Alligator mississippiensis: one gene and its partner. The protein of the gene in region 1 purifies or fractionates together with the protein of each later gene. This does not show direct contact. Links are inferred from orthologs where the notes say so. Each region holds a gene or a part of one and is shown in the gene's direction. Other genes may lie near its edges. The genes, in order: PNN and CLK2.

Region 1 (8,198 bases):
CCAGATAGGGTCTCTTTTACACTCGGAAGCCGTGACTGTGTGTTTTTGTTTGTTTGTTTTTTTGGCAAAAGTGTGGGGGAATATAGGAAGCTGTGTGTGTACTACCGAATAATGTCTTTCCTTTTTCCAGTCCACTGTTCCTTTCTATTCTGCCTCCATCCTTTCCTATATTGTTTCTGTCTTTAAGAAAGTCTTAACTAACTCCTCTGCCTTGCTTGGCCCAGCTCCACCCCCACATAAGAACAACAATCCTATCCAGCCTGTCTGCACGTGACTTTAGTCTGCTGAGAAACAGAAACTGAAAGCCCAGAACTTTCAAGAAGCAAGAGCTGGTAGTTGGGCTGGACAGACAGACTAGAGCCATTTTCATGAGATGAAAAATTGAAATGAATGCCCATGTTTGATTGATAGGTAACTCAATGTGTGAGTGTCTGTGTGTGAGACAGAGCCATTAATTCATTTTTATGAGACTGTAAGTGTAGGTTTATCATATTTGTGATGAGGTTTAACTGTAACTGTTATTTTTTAAACAAGATAGAAATTTAGTACTTTATTGACGATTTTAAAAAAATCCAATTTTTAAATTTTAAAAAAATCCAATTTTTAAATTTATTTTTTCTTAATCATTGATTTTTATCTACCCTGCTTTGGGCACAAACACCCTTCTGTTTCCAGAGATAACAGCCTTGTTAACAGCAGTATCTGGAGATGAGAGATAAGACCTGATTGCCTGCCCATCAGCCCTATTGTTTCTTTAAGTTTGTGTGTATATAGAGTCAAGCCCTTACCTCTCTCTAGAAGTGCAAAGTTTCAAGAAGTTAAATGAATAGAGGATAGGAGGTAGAGTAGATCTGGGAAAGGAGGAGTCTGGAAATAAATGCAAGGAGGGAGGGGAAGTAGAAACAACAGAGGCACATTTTGAGCAGAAGATTCCAGAAGTTGTGAGGAATATCCTTCTGAGTATAGCCTCTCCACTGATTTGAGATCTAGTGAGGGACTGGTATGGTAGAAGGGAAAACCTATCATGGCAGCAGGCTTGCCAGGCCGTAAAAAAGACCCTGTTTGGGAATATTTCATTAAAATTCCTCCACCGTTGGGGAAGACAGGCATGCGTGCAAAATGCAAACAATGTAACAAAGAAATGCAAGGCCTGGTTGCCCGAATGAAACATCTTGAGAAGTGCTCCTTCTCAGGAGAAAACTGCTTTGAAGATGATGAATGGAACATGTCTGAACATGGAGGATCTCCAGGTTAGTAAATTTTCTTATTTCATATTTCTGTCTTACGGACTGCCCATCTCCCCTGTTCATAGCTTGTGGAAGGACTTCAGGACTACTTGAATTCTCATAAAATTGAGAAAAATATAGTTACTTTATAGAACTACCATATTTTAGTGCAGTTGTGATCTAAAATAATGGCTGAAATAGGCAGATCTTCCTTTTACAGTTTTACTTCTAAAATAGTACTGAGTACAATGAGTACTACTAAATGAGTTGTACTGTAGTGACTGCATTGACTTCTTTTGTTCAGGAGGATGCATCCTCAACATACAGGATTCTGACTATCCATCTTCAACATCATCACTGTCTACAATTTCAGAGTTACCTATTAATGATACCAGTGTTCCAGTCAAATGTATGTCACGTAGTACATCACCAGTAGCAAAAAGGAAAAAAATCTCCTTAATCCAGAAACCACCATAGATACATTTAGAATAAGAACCAACAGATTACAGCATGAGGTACTTGATGAAAAAATTGCTCGGTTTGTTTATGCAACAAACGCGCCTTTCTGTATAGTTGAGAACACACACTTCATTGACATGGTTCAGTTATTACGACCGGGATACAGTCCACCCAAAAGAGCAGATATAGTAGGCAAATTGCTGGATAAAGTGTATGAGAGAGAAATTGAACAGTGTGCAAAAAGTCTGGAGGGGAAAATTGTTAACCTGAGTCTTGATGGGTGGAGCAATGTGCACAATGATCCAGTAATATGTGCTTGTGTGACCACAGAAGAAGGGACTGTCTACCTTACAGAAACGGTTGATACATCAGGAAATGCATACACAGCAGAATACTTACAAGAAGTAACAGTAAAAGCTATAACAAACTGTGAAAAAACATTGAAATGTCTAGTAGGCAGCTTTGTCACAGACAATGCTGCAAATATATCAAAGATGAGAAGAAATCTAGAAGAAAGTAAGGAAAGCCCCAAGCTAATAACATATAGCTGCAGCGCTCATTTGATGCACCTCTTAGCCAAAGACTTCAGTGCTCCAGAAATAAAGGCTAATGTTGCTGAAATTGCAAAATACTTCCTTAACAGCCACTTTGCAGCAGCTGCTCTGAAGAAAGCAGGAGGCACCAAACTAACTCTCCCACAAGACCAGAAATGGAACTCAGTAGTGGACTGTTTTGAGCAATATATTGAGAACTGGCCTAACTTGATGAGTTTGTGAACAAAATCATGACAAAATAGATGGAACTGTCATAGCTAAAGTTCTCGACATTGGGCTAAAGAGAAATGTGGAACGTGTGCTGACTATCCTGAAGCCTATTTCTGTAGCCTTGAACAAAGTGAAGGGAAATCGCTGTTTTATTGCTGATGCTGTTGAAATTTGGAAGGAACTGAGTGAGAACTTGAAGAGAGAAATCTGCAATGACAGAGTTAAATTACAGGCATTAAAACAACGAATGGATCAAGCACTATCTCCAGCTCACTTTCTTGCCAATGTTCTCAATACTCAGTACCAGGGTCAATCCTTAACTGCTGAAGAGGACTTGGCTATGACATGGGCATCCAGCAATCATCCCTCCATAATACCAACCATAATGAATTTCAGAGCTAAGGGTGGGTGAACCATTCAAGAAATATATGTTTGCTGATGAAGTTTTAAAGAAAGTCACACCAGTGAACTGGTGGAAGTCACTTAAGCACCTAGATCCACCAGAAACTATTGAAGTGATAATCCAGCTTTTAACAGCAGTAGCTTCTTCTTCTGCAGGTATAGAAAGACTATTTTCTTCCTTTGGACTGGTTCATTCTAAATTGAGAAATCATTTGGGAACTGAAAAAGCAGGAAAGCTTGTCTTTCTTTTCCAGTCTTTGAATAAACAGGAAGAGGAAGGTGAAGACTGAGTTTGCTGCATAACCCAATATTTTACATATCTCATGTTGACCTGGCTAAAATAATCTTTTAAATTTTTGTTAAAAACACATTTCACATTTATAACTAAACTAGTTAAAAATTCAAAAATATGCATCCTTTTGTTAAAATAATTATACATATCTGTTGTTGAAAACTATCCAAAATACATAACCTTATTGTTCTAGTTAATAAAACAATTTAAAAGTCTGTTGTTTTTGGTTATTGTCTTCCTAATACAGCATGGCAAAAATATCCCCCAAATATCCATGATTAACCTATTGAATTGGATAGTTCACTTCCCAGTGACTTCACATGTATCTGCCTCAGTTAACTTTGGTAACTAAAATAACCAGCGAGTTAAATCGTGATGCAAGTCAGGATATAAATCGATTTGGTCCTGACCCAGCAGAGAGGGAGCCGTCCCCTACCCCTCCCACAGCTGCAGGGCCCCCCGCCCCCGCAGTACCAGCTCCTAATTCAGACTTCAGTTTTTACTATAGCAGGCGGGTACAGCAGGCCAGCTGCACAGATCCCAACGCAGGGCAGAATGGTTTCCGCGCTAAGGATTCGCATTTGAAATTTCGGGGTTTATCCTGTGAACCTCGTCTGCACCCAGCAGTGCCGGCAACACGCGACAGGGGCTGCACCGCCGGCCTAGTAGCTTGCTACCCCTCTGCGCAGAGCGGAGACCGAGGTCAGCGAGCCCGGGCCGAGGCCGTGTGTCGTCGCCCCGCGGGCGTAGAGCCGGATTTCGCTGCACCGGCTCCCCCGAGAAATGCCAGGGCTGCGGCACGAGGTCCTAGTAAGGGACCCGGCTCAGGGACGGCGGCGCTGTGTAGCAGGCCGGCAGTAGGCCGCGGCAGTGGTATCAGACACGTAACCCACTCAGGCCGCGCGGGAGCAACTAAACCCGCGACCGCTGAGATGACTGGCGCAAGCCCTTGAGTCGCAGCATTATCAATAAAGCGCCTTGCCATTGGCTCGTTTGTCGGCGGGGCATGGAGCATCTGACAATCTGATTAGTCGCTGCCTGGGACCCACCCCCTCCTCTTTCAAGTCCCATCCCTCGCTTTCCGCTGGATGGGAGGAGGGGCTGTGGGCGCTATCGGGGGGGCGGTTTGGGGAAGTGTCAATCTTCATCCTGACTCTGATTGGTTGATACGAAGAAACGGAGCGGCGGTGATTGGTTAAAAGGCAACGCCGTTCTGCTTGCCCGTTTAGGGATTTCTGGAGGTAGCAGGGGAGGGCCCTGGCTGGTTGGGTGTGGGACATGTCACTCAGATGTGCGGCTCTGTAATTGGTTAGCTGGTTAGGCGGTAATTGGGTGCAGAGAACGTCCTTCGACTCAGGGCAGGGGCATTGGCGCGAGGAGGCGGCTCGGAATTGGCTACTGACGGATCGTGTCTGGCTCTCTGATTGGCGGGGCGCGGGCGGGCGGCACGTCTCGCTCCCCGTTACCCAGCGGTGCTTTGCGCTAGGCCGCAGTTAGGCCACGCTGCGGGCGGGATGGCGGTGGCGGTGCGCGCGCTGCAGGAGCAGCTGGAGAAGGCCAAGGAAAGCCTCAAGCACGTGGATGAGAACATCCGCAAGCTCACGGGCCGGGACCCCAACGATGTCAGGTGCGGCCGAGCGTGTCCGCTTCGCGCCTGGGCCCCGCGGAGCCTCCCCCGGGCTGCTCCGCTGCTCCCGGCGGGGGGAGGAGGGGTCCTGATCGAGGGCGTGGGTGCCTTCCCTCTCGCCCGGCGCGCTGGGTGGCCCTGGCCCGCCTGTGCGGCGCTCCGGGGCGGTCTCGGAGCCCCCTGGGCGGCTCGCAGCCTTCCTAACGCGCGCTCCGTTTCTTGCAGGCCCCCTCAGAGCAGGCTGTTACCCATCGCAGGCCCTGGTGGAGGTAGAGGCCGCGGTAGCTTACTGCTGAGGTAAGGACCGGCGACCCCCACATGTTTCTGTCCTTGCTGCTTCTCTTGGGTTTCTCCCCTTTGGGGCCCTGCTGCTGGGTACTGCTTGCAGAGCCGCCACAGGCTCCTTGCTTGAAAGGGCTGGAGCCGCATGTCTCAGACTCCCGCTTCCCCCTCGGGCAGCGGCTCAGCAGCTCTTCTCTTGCCCTCGTTTTTGTCTGTGAAATTAAATAGCGGAGCAGTCTCCTGTAGCAGAGACCTTGGGGAGGCCCCAGCAGGGATCCCGTGCTCTGGACTCTGGCCATTCTCATTTGCCATCTCGGGGATTGTGCCGGATGTATGCATTTCTGCCAATGCTGATGCTTTGCAGCCCCCTGATTGCAAATTGCTGGGTAAGGCACTTGGGTGCTATTGTATGGGGTCCTGTCTAGTGCCTAGATGGGATGTGGGGCTAAGAGAGCCAGAGCTCTGTTACACAGGTGACTGCTGGAGCTCTTAACCCCTGGATTTTCTACACGTTAACACCTAAAACTAGTTTTGACCACTTGGTATGCCTCTCAAACTTACACCACCCCAGGGCAGGATTATTTCTGATCTGTGGTACCCTGCTGGTGTTGCACTATTGTGTAGCTAGCTACTCTAGGCTATACTTTTGTCTAAAAAAAATCCTGTCTCTTCTTCACCCCCCCCCCCCCCCCCCCCACACACACACACACACACACACTCCCAGGGGAGCAGAAAGGGAAGCATTAAGTGTTGCTGCAGTCTAGGCAGGCTCAGCCTGGAGAAGGGGGTGGGGGTAAATGGGTTAACCCTTCCCTGCCTGCTCCTCCAAGACAGTCAGTGCAGACAGCCAGAAATGGAAGGGGGTGGAACTTATGGGGCAGAGGGGAAGCCTGTAATGGAGGGGGGCAGGATTCTTCCTTTCAGTTCTCCAGGCTCCTGCTGGCCTGGCATGTGACTCCTCCAAACTTGAGCCAGTACTAACGTCCATTAACATTTGTGAAGCTTACAGTGTAATATGTAACAAGGCCCTTAAATTGTGCTGTTGTGTCTGTAAGCTTAACTTTTAGATATGGTTCAAAAGCAAAACTTGGCAGTGTCAGAAAAGAGGTATTACTTTAGCAAAAGACTTTGTTGAAGCCAAGGGATAGAAGTTTTAAAACTGCTAACGATCATAATATATAACTTTGAATGAAACAGGTCTGGTGGCAAGAAGTGGAATGTTTTTTGTTTCTCTCTTTAAAATTAGAAGTTGGAAGAGTTATTTCCTAATATTGCTCCATTTTAAAATGTATTTTCTCTGGTACTGAATAGGTAGACTTACAGGCTCTTTTAACTGTTATTTTTGGTGAAAACTTAATACTAATACAGCATTCTTAAACTGTCCACACTTATAACCTGAGTAACTCTGTTTGCATGAGTAGCCTTACTGAAGTTGATGAGGGGGAGTGGGGATGACACTATTTAAGTTAGTATTGCTGTTCATGTGAATCAGTGTTTGCAGGATTTGACTTGAAATTATTTGCTCCATAGAGCAAGAATATGGGCCATTTTGTTGGTCTTTGTAAAATGCTGTATTCTTGCTGCTGCCTTAAAAAACTATTACCTTTACCATCTCTGAACAGAAACAGACTTGCCTACAAAACAGTAAACCAGAAGCAGACTTGGGGTTAGGAACTCCTGAATTTGGGATTCCTGACCTGTTCTTGGACATCATCTTTAGCTGTCTCTTTTTAGGCGTGGATTCTCGGATAGCGGAGGAGGACCCCCAGCCAAACAGAGGGATCTTGAAGGGGCAACCAGTAGGTAGGTAAAAAAAGAAAAAAAAAAAAGTACCTGTAGAGACTACACTAGGGTAAATGGCTGTTATGATTTAATAAATCTAATGCTCAGAATCGGTAATAGTTTGTGAAATAATCCCAGATTGATAAACTTCTTCAAGATTGGATGTTCCAAATCTAACTTTTGATGGTGATGATTTTACAGGACCAGTATCAGACCAACAGCAATATGACTGTCTCAGCAGTCATGAAATCCTGGTTTATTTGTTCTTCTCTGGAAAATATACAATGCATAGGGCCTCCCATGAAAAAGAAATTGCATTTTTTCTGGATTATCAGTCTTGAATTTACACTATTCATAATTCTGATGGGGGGGGTAAAATTGGGTGTATATATTTATTCTAATGTTAATGGAAGCATTTAGCTATGTAGATTATATAGTCCTACAATTCTCTTTATTTTTTTTTTTTTATTTTTTTTGCACGTCACCTTTAATAAAACAATTAAAGGAATGTGTAACTGATTTTTATTCAGCCTTTTAAAGACATTGATTTAAAGCTCTATTTCTGAGTTGCCGTATTTAAGTGTCTTATCATCATCGCCACAAGATTAGAGGGGTTGGGAATGTTGGGAGTGCATGGGGCTTGCTGGCCAGTATTTGGCCCTTGGTATGGACTTTATCTTCTTGAAACCTTACCCGTTTTATTGACAAATGAAAATTTATATGAAACATGTCACATTTAAATATATTCTGTAGAAGCAGGTCTTTTTATCAAATGTTGATTTCACAGCAGGCTCAGATAAGATTTAAGATATGCCTCACTCAGTGTGCAGTTTAAGAGGAGTTAAATCTTTTACCATTAATACAGAGCTAAATACTCTTTCAGTAAAACAAGATTAAGTTAATATGTGTTTTTATTTTTAAGTAGCTTCTGTACATCACCTGCTTTAGGAGTATGTAGAGCTGATACTTTAGGCTGGATCAAGTGAAGGAGAAAAACTAGAGTATAAAGCTGGAGATAGCTTTGTTCCTAACTTGTGCCTGCTGCTCTTCAGTAAGCCCTTATTCAGCAAAGCGCTCAGGGTACTTGGCTCACAGGCCTAGCCCATCAAGCCATGCCATTCAATCCTCAGTGGTCCCCACGGATCCAGAAACTTGACTGCAGGGGAGCAGTGGCAGCAACTGCCACTCCCCTGCTGCCAAATTTCCAGGCCCATGGGGAACGCTGCAAGCTATATTGCACACTAGATCAGTGTGCAGAGGTGGCCCAAGCCTGATCTGGGTACACAGGGGCTGGCTAGAAGCAGTGTGGGCCCCGAGGAGGCAATGTGAGGCCCTTCTTCAGCTGCATGGGACCGAGCAAGGCA
Region 2 (8,587 bases), on another chromosome or scaffold:
ACGAAGTTGGGGTCGGCGTTCGCGAACAGCGGCATATTGGCCACCAGGTTCCGGCAGTTGAAGTTGATGATTTCCTGTGGGAGCAGTGAGGCTGCGGTGTCATGGGATCCAGGGCAGAATGTCTCCCCGGGGGTAGTTCCCACGACAGTCGCCCCTGCCCAACCCTGGGAGAACAGCCCCTCCCTACCTCCTTGAGTGGCTCGCTCAGCTCCCCTAGGATGTTCTCCTCGTCGAACATCTTGCCCTGGTAGCGGTGCTCATAGTACTCATGGATGCGTTGGCGCATGTCACCAGGCAGCTTGTGGAACGACATGTACTGCTCCACCTGCTTGTACTGGAGGGACAGACAGACGGACACAAGCTCACAGGGGGAGCTGGAAACCCTCTTCTGTAGCAGAACCCCTATGGAGAGGGCAGTAACCACACTCCAGGGCCTTTGGCTCCATGAGGGTGGAGGGGCACTGTCAGCTCATGGTCCCACCTGCAGCCCTCCCCAAGTACCAGGGCCTGAGGGCAGGAGCTAGGAGCATGGCCAACTCCCATGTCGAGCAGCTGTGGGCACCAGGTCAATTTGTTCTGGACTCATACCCCAGATCCCTCCCGGCAGCCCCAGGCACATCTCCTGCCTCCCCCACGCACCTTCTCCTGGTACTGTCGACGGGATGAGTCCAGTGACTGGATGAGGGCGGTGGCATGGCCAATGAACATAGCGTAGCAGGTGGCGCCCACGATCATGCTAAGCATAGTGAGCCAGACGTCGGTCATGCCCTCTGGGGCCTGCTGCCCATAGCCAATGCACAGCATGTGGCTCATGGCCTTGAACAGGGCGTGCGAGTACTGTTTCCCCCATGAGTCATTCTGGAGACAGGAGGTATGGAAAGGGGGATGGAGCTGTGCCCCAGCAGCCCCCGCTGCCTGAAAACCCAGGATCACCCACCTCCCAGGGCCACACCTTCTGGGCTGGGCCCCCATGGAAGCAGCAGGAGCCCCCTCCCTGCTCTCCCTTAGCACCTGGTGGGATAGATCTGCCCTGCTGGCTGCAGAAGTGAGCCGTGATCTCCCTCACTCCCTCCCACCTGACTGGTGCCCCAGGGTCGCAGCAGCCTGCAGGACCTCTGCAAGCTCCTGGCTCAGGAGCTTAGGGCACATGTGTAAGAGTGAGCACGTGTGCACGTGCCAGGATGCAAGCAAGAGTGTGTGCATGAGCAGATGCTTTAGACTGGGGTGGGTGGGGAGTCTCCCGCCCTGGACCACGTGCAACCTCACCCAAGTGGGAGCTCCTGCTGGCAGCTGCGGAGGCCTGGGGCTGGGCTCCAGGAGTGGGGAAGCATGGCACTCACCACCATGTGATTGATGGAGACCCAGCAGTCCTCAGGGAAGTCCTGCAGCATGGGCACCAGGAACTGGAGGCAGCCGTCCCAGTGGCATAGCAGTAGCATCATGCCAATTAGGTTGAAGATCCGCACCACAGCGCTGGCCAGGTCATAGGTCATGTGGAAAATCTGGGCATAGGGGAAGCCGGGAGCAAGACAGTAAGGAACCACTGCTCCCCAGGGCATCCATGGGGAAGGGAAGAGCTCCCCCATCTTCAGGCACCAGGTCCCTGGTGAGCTCCTCACCTTGCAACCAGCGGCACCTGAACTCCTGGCCAGGGGGCCCCACTCACCCTCCACCTTCCCCAGGCACGAGCCCCTAGGATGCCCCTCAGCCCCTCCGGCTGGCTCCTGGCCACCCACCTCCTCCCACTGGTGGATGTAGCGGATGAGGCGAGAGAGGCGCAGTAGGCGCAGCAGGCTGAGGATCTTGGTGAAGCGCACTATGCGCAGAGCCCGCGCTGTCTTGTAGACGTCTGAGTCCACCTGAGTCTCCAGGTCGACGATGAGGAAGATGTAGTCAACAGGGATGGAGGAGATGAAATCAACCAGGAACCAGCTCTTAAGGTACTTTGTTTTGATGGTGTGGGGGTCCAGGATGATCTCTGTGTTGTCCTCCACTACGATGCCTGTGCGGAAGTTTAGTACCAGGTCGGCCAGGAAGAAGGTGTCGGAGAGCACATTGAAGACGATCCAGGGCGGCGTGTTCTCGTCCTTGAAGAAGGTGATGCCTACGGGCAGGATGATCAGGTTCCCCACCATCAGCAGGAGCATAATGAGGTCCCAGTAGAACCTGTTGGGGGGGGGGGCGCAGAGCAGTGGGGAGAGAAGGGAAATATCCTCAGAGCGGCTGGAGCCTCAGGGGACAGCACAGAGATGTGGCTTCTGCCACGCATCCAGGGTGCCTGGGGGAGGTGGCTGCAGACAGGTGCTGTCTGGGTGTCTCGGGGAGCTCCAGCCTGGCCTCTCCCCACACCACCTGACATCATGGGCAAAGCCCCAGCCAGGCCTCAACTTCTCGGCTCCATCCCAACCTGCCGTTGTCCTGCTGTGCAGCCCGGGCTGGCCCCTTCCCCACAGGTCCAGTCTCTGCCAGGGGCCTTGCCAAGGCCTTCCCCATCACATCTACAACCCTGAACCCCAGCCCCCGATCATCACCTCCCTTGTCCTCCCCTGACCCCTGCCAGAGCAAACTACTGCAGGCTCAGAATCAGCACCTGCCTTTCTTGCAGCTACTAGGCAAATGTGCTGTGCCTAGTCATGGCTCGGAGCTACGGCAGCGTGCGGACAATGAAGACCAGGCCACATGGATGCCCTACTAGCTGGGCCTCTGCTCAAACCAATGAGCAGAAGGCCTGAGGAAGCCGCTCCCTGCAAGCCCCATGCAGGTGAAGCTGGCCCAGGGGCCCTGGGCTTGGATTCCCTCTGGATCAGGCCCTCAGCCCAGACAAGTGTCCCAGAGGCACAGACACATCCCAACATGCCCTGGCTGGGATGATCTAGTTGGGGCTTGTCCTGCTGTGAGTAGGGGCTGGACTCTATGACTCCCAAGGTCCTTTCTAGCCCTCGCTCCTATGATCCTAAGCACCAGCCAGGCCAAGGTGCACAGGGTAACTGCTCTGCAGCTGGGCAGAGCACAGCCAGATGCCCTCATGTGCAGTCACACACACAGTGTCCCAGCTTCATGCACGCGCGAGCCAGGACCTTGGGACACCCATACAGCCCCTTTCCTGGATATCTAAAACCTGCCCACTCCCATGCTCTCTACCCCCCAGACCCAGCCTGGTCTCTACATGCAGAAAGCGGTAGATGTGAGTCAGGGTCCGACCTGGACATTGTCACTTGGTCCCAAATGTAGCCAGGGGGCACAGTCCAGCACTTTAGAGCCAGGGCCCTACCCCTTGCTCTTCACTCCTCTGTCTTCCTCTCTGTAACCTGGAGCCTCTCACAGAGGCCCCAAGCCCATGAAGGGACGGGGCCACCTAGTCAGTGGTGAACCGCAAGGCACCGGGAACGCTGTAGACAGTGCGGTGGCAAAGGGGAAAGTAGGAAATGCTGATGCCACGTGGAGGACATCTCTGCCCCTGCCCCGTGGAGCCCTGCACAGGGACAGGGAGCTCAAGCCGCTGGGGAGCTGGCGTGGGCGAGGCCCCGAGTCTCCATGGCAGCAGCAAGGAGGATTAGCCATGGCTGCCTCGGGTCTGTGCCACAGGACTGCGTAACCTCTCCCAGCCTGGGGCCTCACCAGCCAGACAAGGGGCTTCCTACTGATTGCTCACCGCCCGTCGGAGGACATGACTGCTCAGGAGTCTGGCAGGAGAAGTTAATGCCACCTACACCCACATGCAGCCCTGATGGGCACTGGCCCCAGTCACAGCTCAGCCGCCCCCAGCAGCACTGGCTGGTCCCTCCTGCCCCAGTCCCCAGGGCTCGTGTCTGATGGAGGCTGCAAGCACTTTGGGGCTGGCTGCCTGTTTCTGCACGCGCCACCCAGCGCAGGGCCCTGCTCTCAGCCGGGGCTTGTGGTGCCGCCGTAATGCATAATCCCCCCACCCCCCACCCTGTGTCACTGGGTCACCTTCACCCTGCCGGGGGAGATCACCTCGGAGATAACCGCAGCTTAGCTTGTCTGGCACGTTACGAGCGGGTGTGAGCAGGGATGGGGTGCGCTGAGGCCGCCGCTGCAGTGGGATTAAGGGCCGGGGCAGCATTGGGAGAGGGAGGCGCCGGCAGCAGGTGCCCAGGCTCGTGGCTGTCTGGGAAGGGGCACAAGGGGCAGGCGCAGGCTCTGTGGTGAATGCCCGTCGCCTGTGCCTCCCCCCTCCTCCCCCCACGCACGTCTGTGTCCTCCCACCTGGCACGACACCCTGTCCCCCCGCCGGCCCCGGGAAACACGGGGCCCTCCCAGCCCGCGCAGGTGCCACCCTCTCCCGGAGCCGGAGCAGCGCTGAATCCCCTTGGATTTGGGGCAGCTCCTGCCTAGGTCCGGAGATGGAGACCCCCAGCACCCTCGGCTCTCCCGCCCCACACGGGCCGGCGCGGCGCGGCGCGGCGCGGGCTGCTCAGCACCATGGACAGCGGCGCTGACCTGAAGTCGCTGTAGGGGTGGATGATCCAGGGCCCGGCCGACTGCACGCGGCGCTGCTCGATCTCCACCGCCTTGTGGCTGCCGAACATGCGCAGCGAGAACTTGTTGACGGCCGGCTGCAGCAGGGCCCCGAGCTGCCGCCGCGCCCCGGCCCCCGGCCCCGGCCCCGGCCCCGGCCCCGGCCCCGGCCCCGGCCCCGCCGGCTCCTCGGCGCCCGCCGCCATGTGCTCGGGGCCGTCGCGCGGGCGCCCCGCGGCCTCCCCGTCCGGCGGCGGCCCCGGGCCCGGCGCCGCCTCCATGCTTCGTCAGACGGGCTGGGCCGGGCGCCCGCCCCGCGCCCCGGGGCTCATGGCCGCGGCGGCCGGCGCGGGGCGGGACGGGGCGGGGCGGGCCAAGGGCAGCGCGGGCGGCCGGGGCTGCCGGGACGTCAGCGGGCGGGGGCGGGGCCGCGGGGGCGGGGCTCCCCGGGTGACGCGACGGAGGGGCGGGGCCGGGGCTGTGTGACGCGGCGCGCACGTCCGACGCCTGGCGTGTGACGCGGTGTGCGCGCGGCGCCGCCGCGGCGGAGGCGGGGGAGCGCGGCCTGGCCCGAGCGGCGCGGCGCGGAGCAGCGGCGCGGAGGGAGCGCGGCCCCGCCCCGCCCGCCCGCGCGCGTGCGCGCGCGCCCGCCGCCGCCACGGATTTCCTGTGGGACAAGCGCACCGGGCTGGCTGCCAGGACGGTGCGCGGCGGGGCGGGGCTGGGCCGGGCCGGGCCGGGCCGGGCTGGGCCGGGTGGGGTGGGGTGGGGCGGGGCGCGGTCCGGTCCTCGGGCGCGGGGCGGCCCCGCCGCAGGGGCCCGGGGCGGGGCGGGGAGGAGCAGCGAACCGGGGCGGACCCGGCCCTGGTGCCGCCGTGGCCCGGCCTGGGCGCGGGGTGGCTCCGCCCGGGCCCGGCACTGACGCCGCCGCCGCCCCCCGCAGATGCCTCACTCGCGGAGGTACCGCTCGTCGGAGCGCAGCAGCCGCGGCAGCTACCGCGAGCGCTACCGCAGCCGCAAGCACAAGCGGCGGCGCTCGCGGTCCCGCTCCAGCAGCAGCGAGCGGGACCGGCGGCACCGGCGGGAGGACAGCTACCACGTGCGCTCCCGGAGGTGAGTGCCCACCACAGCCACCGCGGGGTCCCTGCACGGAGCTGCCCCCGTCCTTGCCCCCCGGGGCTGCCCTTGTGGGCCAGGTCCCAGCCACTCTCCTCCCGCCCTAGTTACGAAGACCACTCGGTGGACCGGCGAGCCTACGACCGGCGCTACTGCGACAGCTACCGGCGCAACGACTACAGCCGCGAGCGCGGGGAAGCCTACTACGACGCTGAGTACCGCCACTCCTATGAGTACCGGCGCTCCCGGGACCGCGAGGGCAGCTACCGCAGCTGCAAGAGCAGCCGGCGTAAGCACAGGCGGAGACGGCGCCGCAGCCGGTCCTTTAGCCGCTCTTCATCGGTGAGTACCCGACTGCACGCTGCCCCTTAACCTTTCTCTCCCAGGTGGCGAGCTGGGTAAGTAGCAAGCTTCCTTCCTTACGTGGTTTCTGAGTGCGCTTGAAATGACTAAATAACCTTGGTGCGGGCAGCAGCTCCTGGCCGCCCCGCGACATGCCAGAGCCGTGGCTGCCCGGTCCCTGGAGGGCGCAGGCAGGTCCTAAGGTCTGTCGGGGGTAACCGCTGTCCACAGGGGCTGCAGCCCCCAGCCTGTATCCCTGCTGCTGTTGTGCGCTGATGTTGGTGTTATGGTACCGTAGGGTCTCCCGCTCGAGGCTCTGCCTTCCTTGCTGCAGAGAGCTCAGTCCGGTTGTGGCCACGAGCCTGGCCTCTGGCAGGCCACGGCTGTGCTTCTCCTTCGGGGCGGTCTGTGGCAGGAGGCCCAGCCCTCTGTGTCTGAGTTGGAGGCGCAGTGCCTGGCTCCAGCCCCTGCTATGCAGGGGGGCTCTGGTCGAGTGTATCGGCCTGTGGAGCAGTCATTCAGATGAAGATGGCCATGCAGGCTCTTCCCAGTGTAGTGTCTTGGCTTTCTTTTCTTGTCTGTTCTGCCACTTGCCTTCCACATCCGTTAGGGCCAAGACACATGATCTCTGCACCTGGGGCTCTCACCAATGCCCGCTGTGGCCTGGCTGTGCCTTGGGGCTGCTCCAGGTCAAGGGCTTTGTATTCAGGGTGGGGGTTGAGTCCCTGAGCTTCTGGCTGGTCCCTCTGAAGTGTGGGGTTTCCTAGCTGAAGAACCGTGGCAGGAACTCTTTCTTTTTTGGTGCAATCTCTTGTCTGACTTATCTTAGGCTTTTCCTCTTCCCCATTCCCCATCTCTCGGGGAGCTAGTCTCCAGAACCAGCTTCTTTGAGGGGGTGGAGGGTGGACTTGGAGGTATCCAATTGGCCTTGGGGCAGTTACTAGTGAGGTCCGTCCGGTTCTGGATGAAATGTTGTGCAGACACTTGCTTCTGAAGCCTCCTAGCTCTTCCTTCTCTATGGCATTGGGGGAAAGCCATGGCTTGGGCTGTTGGAATGGGGAGGGGGCCGTGTGGGGGCGGCCTGGCCCTTTGTTTTGAAGGATTTTGCAGTGCGCCGCCTGCAGCTGCCCTTCCATGGCAGCTGATGCAAGGATGCAAGCCCCTCACTACAGCCACTGAGCCTCGGCTGCAGAGCCGTGTCTCGGTGTGCTCTCCTGGCTTTAATGCGGACCCGAATGTCAGCACCGTTTCTCTCCAAAGCCCCGGAAGAGCAAGAGCAGCCGGCTCCCTCCGGGTCCCCCCTTTCCCCCCCACTCGTCTTGGCTCTGGCGCTGGTTCGGGTGGGGCTGTTTTGTAGGATTTTTTTTTCTTTTCTTTTTTTTCTTTTTTTTATCTTTTTTTTTTTTTTTTTTTTTTGCTACAACAAAAAGCAAACTGTTTTTTTTCTTTTCTGAGCTAGTGTGTTGTATCTTGACATGTTCCCTTGCAATATCCCTATCGTTATATATTCCTCTGTGCCGTATGAATTGGCTGGGAATCTCCTGCAACCCCTCCTCAAACAACCATGTGAATTTCCAAACCAACCAATGCGTGACGCCGGCTGCTGCGCTGGTTTGAAATCTGATTGGCTGGTGAATGATGAATTCCCTGTCTGCCCGGGCCAGCAGCGGAGTCGACCGAGCAGCAGAAGGGCCAAGAGTGTGGAAGACGACGACGAGGGGCATCTGATCTATCGCGTCGGCGACTGGCTACAAGAAAGATGTACAGCCGAATCGTAACATAATTTAGCTCTCTAGTTAAGCTCCCATCGCAGTCGCAGATCTGTCTTATCTTTGTTTCATTTTATTTTCATTGTTTATTAAAGAGAAGCCCTCTCTCCCCCCCACCCCCTTTTATTAAAGCTACATATATATTCTATACTGTTACTGCAGTGCCAGGGATGTAGGGCAGTTGCCTTGTGCAGCCGGTCTCGGCCTTCCGCCCTGCCGGTCTCCAGCGTGCAGGCTAGGTGTTGCAATGCATTCTTCTCTGCCTTGTGTACGTGCCACAGCCAGGTCCCGCTCTCCACCTCATGGCCCTTTCTCTCTCTCTCCCTCCCTCTCAGATGAGATCATTAGCACCCTAGGAGAAGGTACATTTGGCCGAGTGGTGCAGTGCGTGGATCACCGGAGGTAGGCGTGCTACCAAGCTGGCAACACCATGCCAGGCTGCTGCCTTCTTGGGGGGGGAGCACGGGTCCAGCAGCCTTGCTCGTGTGGAGGCTGGAGTGTCGGGGTGATTGAGTCCCTTCTTATTCGGACTTAGCATGCACTGATCTGATCCAGTCCTGTTCATGGTCCCTGTGGGATGGGCTGGGATGGACCAGGGGGTAAAATCTGCTGTCTCAGCTGGTGGGGGTCACTGGGGCTCTACCACGTGGCCCCAGAAAGGGTGGAGGTTGTGGTGCCCATGTCCCTTGGAGCCACACGGGCCTCAGGCTCACAGTCCTGTTCCTGCCTCTCCCCAGGGGTGGTGCGCGTGTTGCACTCAAAATCATAAAGAACGTGGAGAAGTACAAGGAGGCTGCGCGGCTGGAGATCAACGTGCTGGAGAAGATAAATGAGAAGGACCCAGAGAACAAGAAGTGAGTATTGTGTGTGATTGTAGGAAG

What was found.
Region 2: the proteins of PNN (region 1) and CLK2 purify together in Homo sapiens (affinity purification with mass spectrometry; 3 studies listed by BioGRID and IntAct, counting the BioPlex papers as one, with this or other methods). This does not show direct contact. The link is inferred for Alligator mississippiensis from reciprocal best matches to the Homo sapiens genes PNN and CLK2.

The regions. Positions count from the first base shown.
Region 1 is NC_081825.1:260,160,856-260,169,053, forward strand, and holds the start of PNN (pinin), read left to right. Parts: upstream 1-4,558; 5' UTR 4,559-4,657; coding exon 4,658-4,770; intron 4,771-4,995; coding exon 4,996-5,067; intron 5,068-6,786; coding exon 6,787-6,855; intron 6,856-8,198. UniProt on the Homo sapiens protein: Transcriptional activator binding to the E-box 1 core sequence of the E-cadherin promoter gene; the core-binding sequence is 5'CAGGTG-3'. Capable of reversing CTBP1-mediated transcription repression.
Region 2 is NC_081838.1:12,591,492-12,600,078, forward strand, and holds the start of CLK2 (dual specificity protein kinase CLK2), read left to right. Parts: upstream 1-5,056; 5' UTR 5,057-5,182; intron 5,183-5,422; coding exon 5,423-5,592; intron 5,593-5,702; coding exon 5,703-5,937; intron 5,938-7,601; coding exon 7,602-7,698; intron 7,699-8,041; coding exon 8,042-8,108; intron 8,109-8,443; coding exon 8,444-8,560; intron 8,561-8,587. Other genes in the region: HCN3 (potassium/sodium hyperpolarization-activated cyclic nucleotide-gated channel 3), read right to left, coding at 1-74, 188-334, 640-858, 1,341-1,502, 1,737-2,166, 4,462-4,760. UniProt on the Homo sapiens protein: Dual specificity kinase acting on both serine/threonine and tyrosine-containing substrates. Phosphorylates serine- and arginine-rich (SR) proteins of the spliceosomal complex.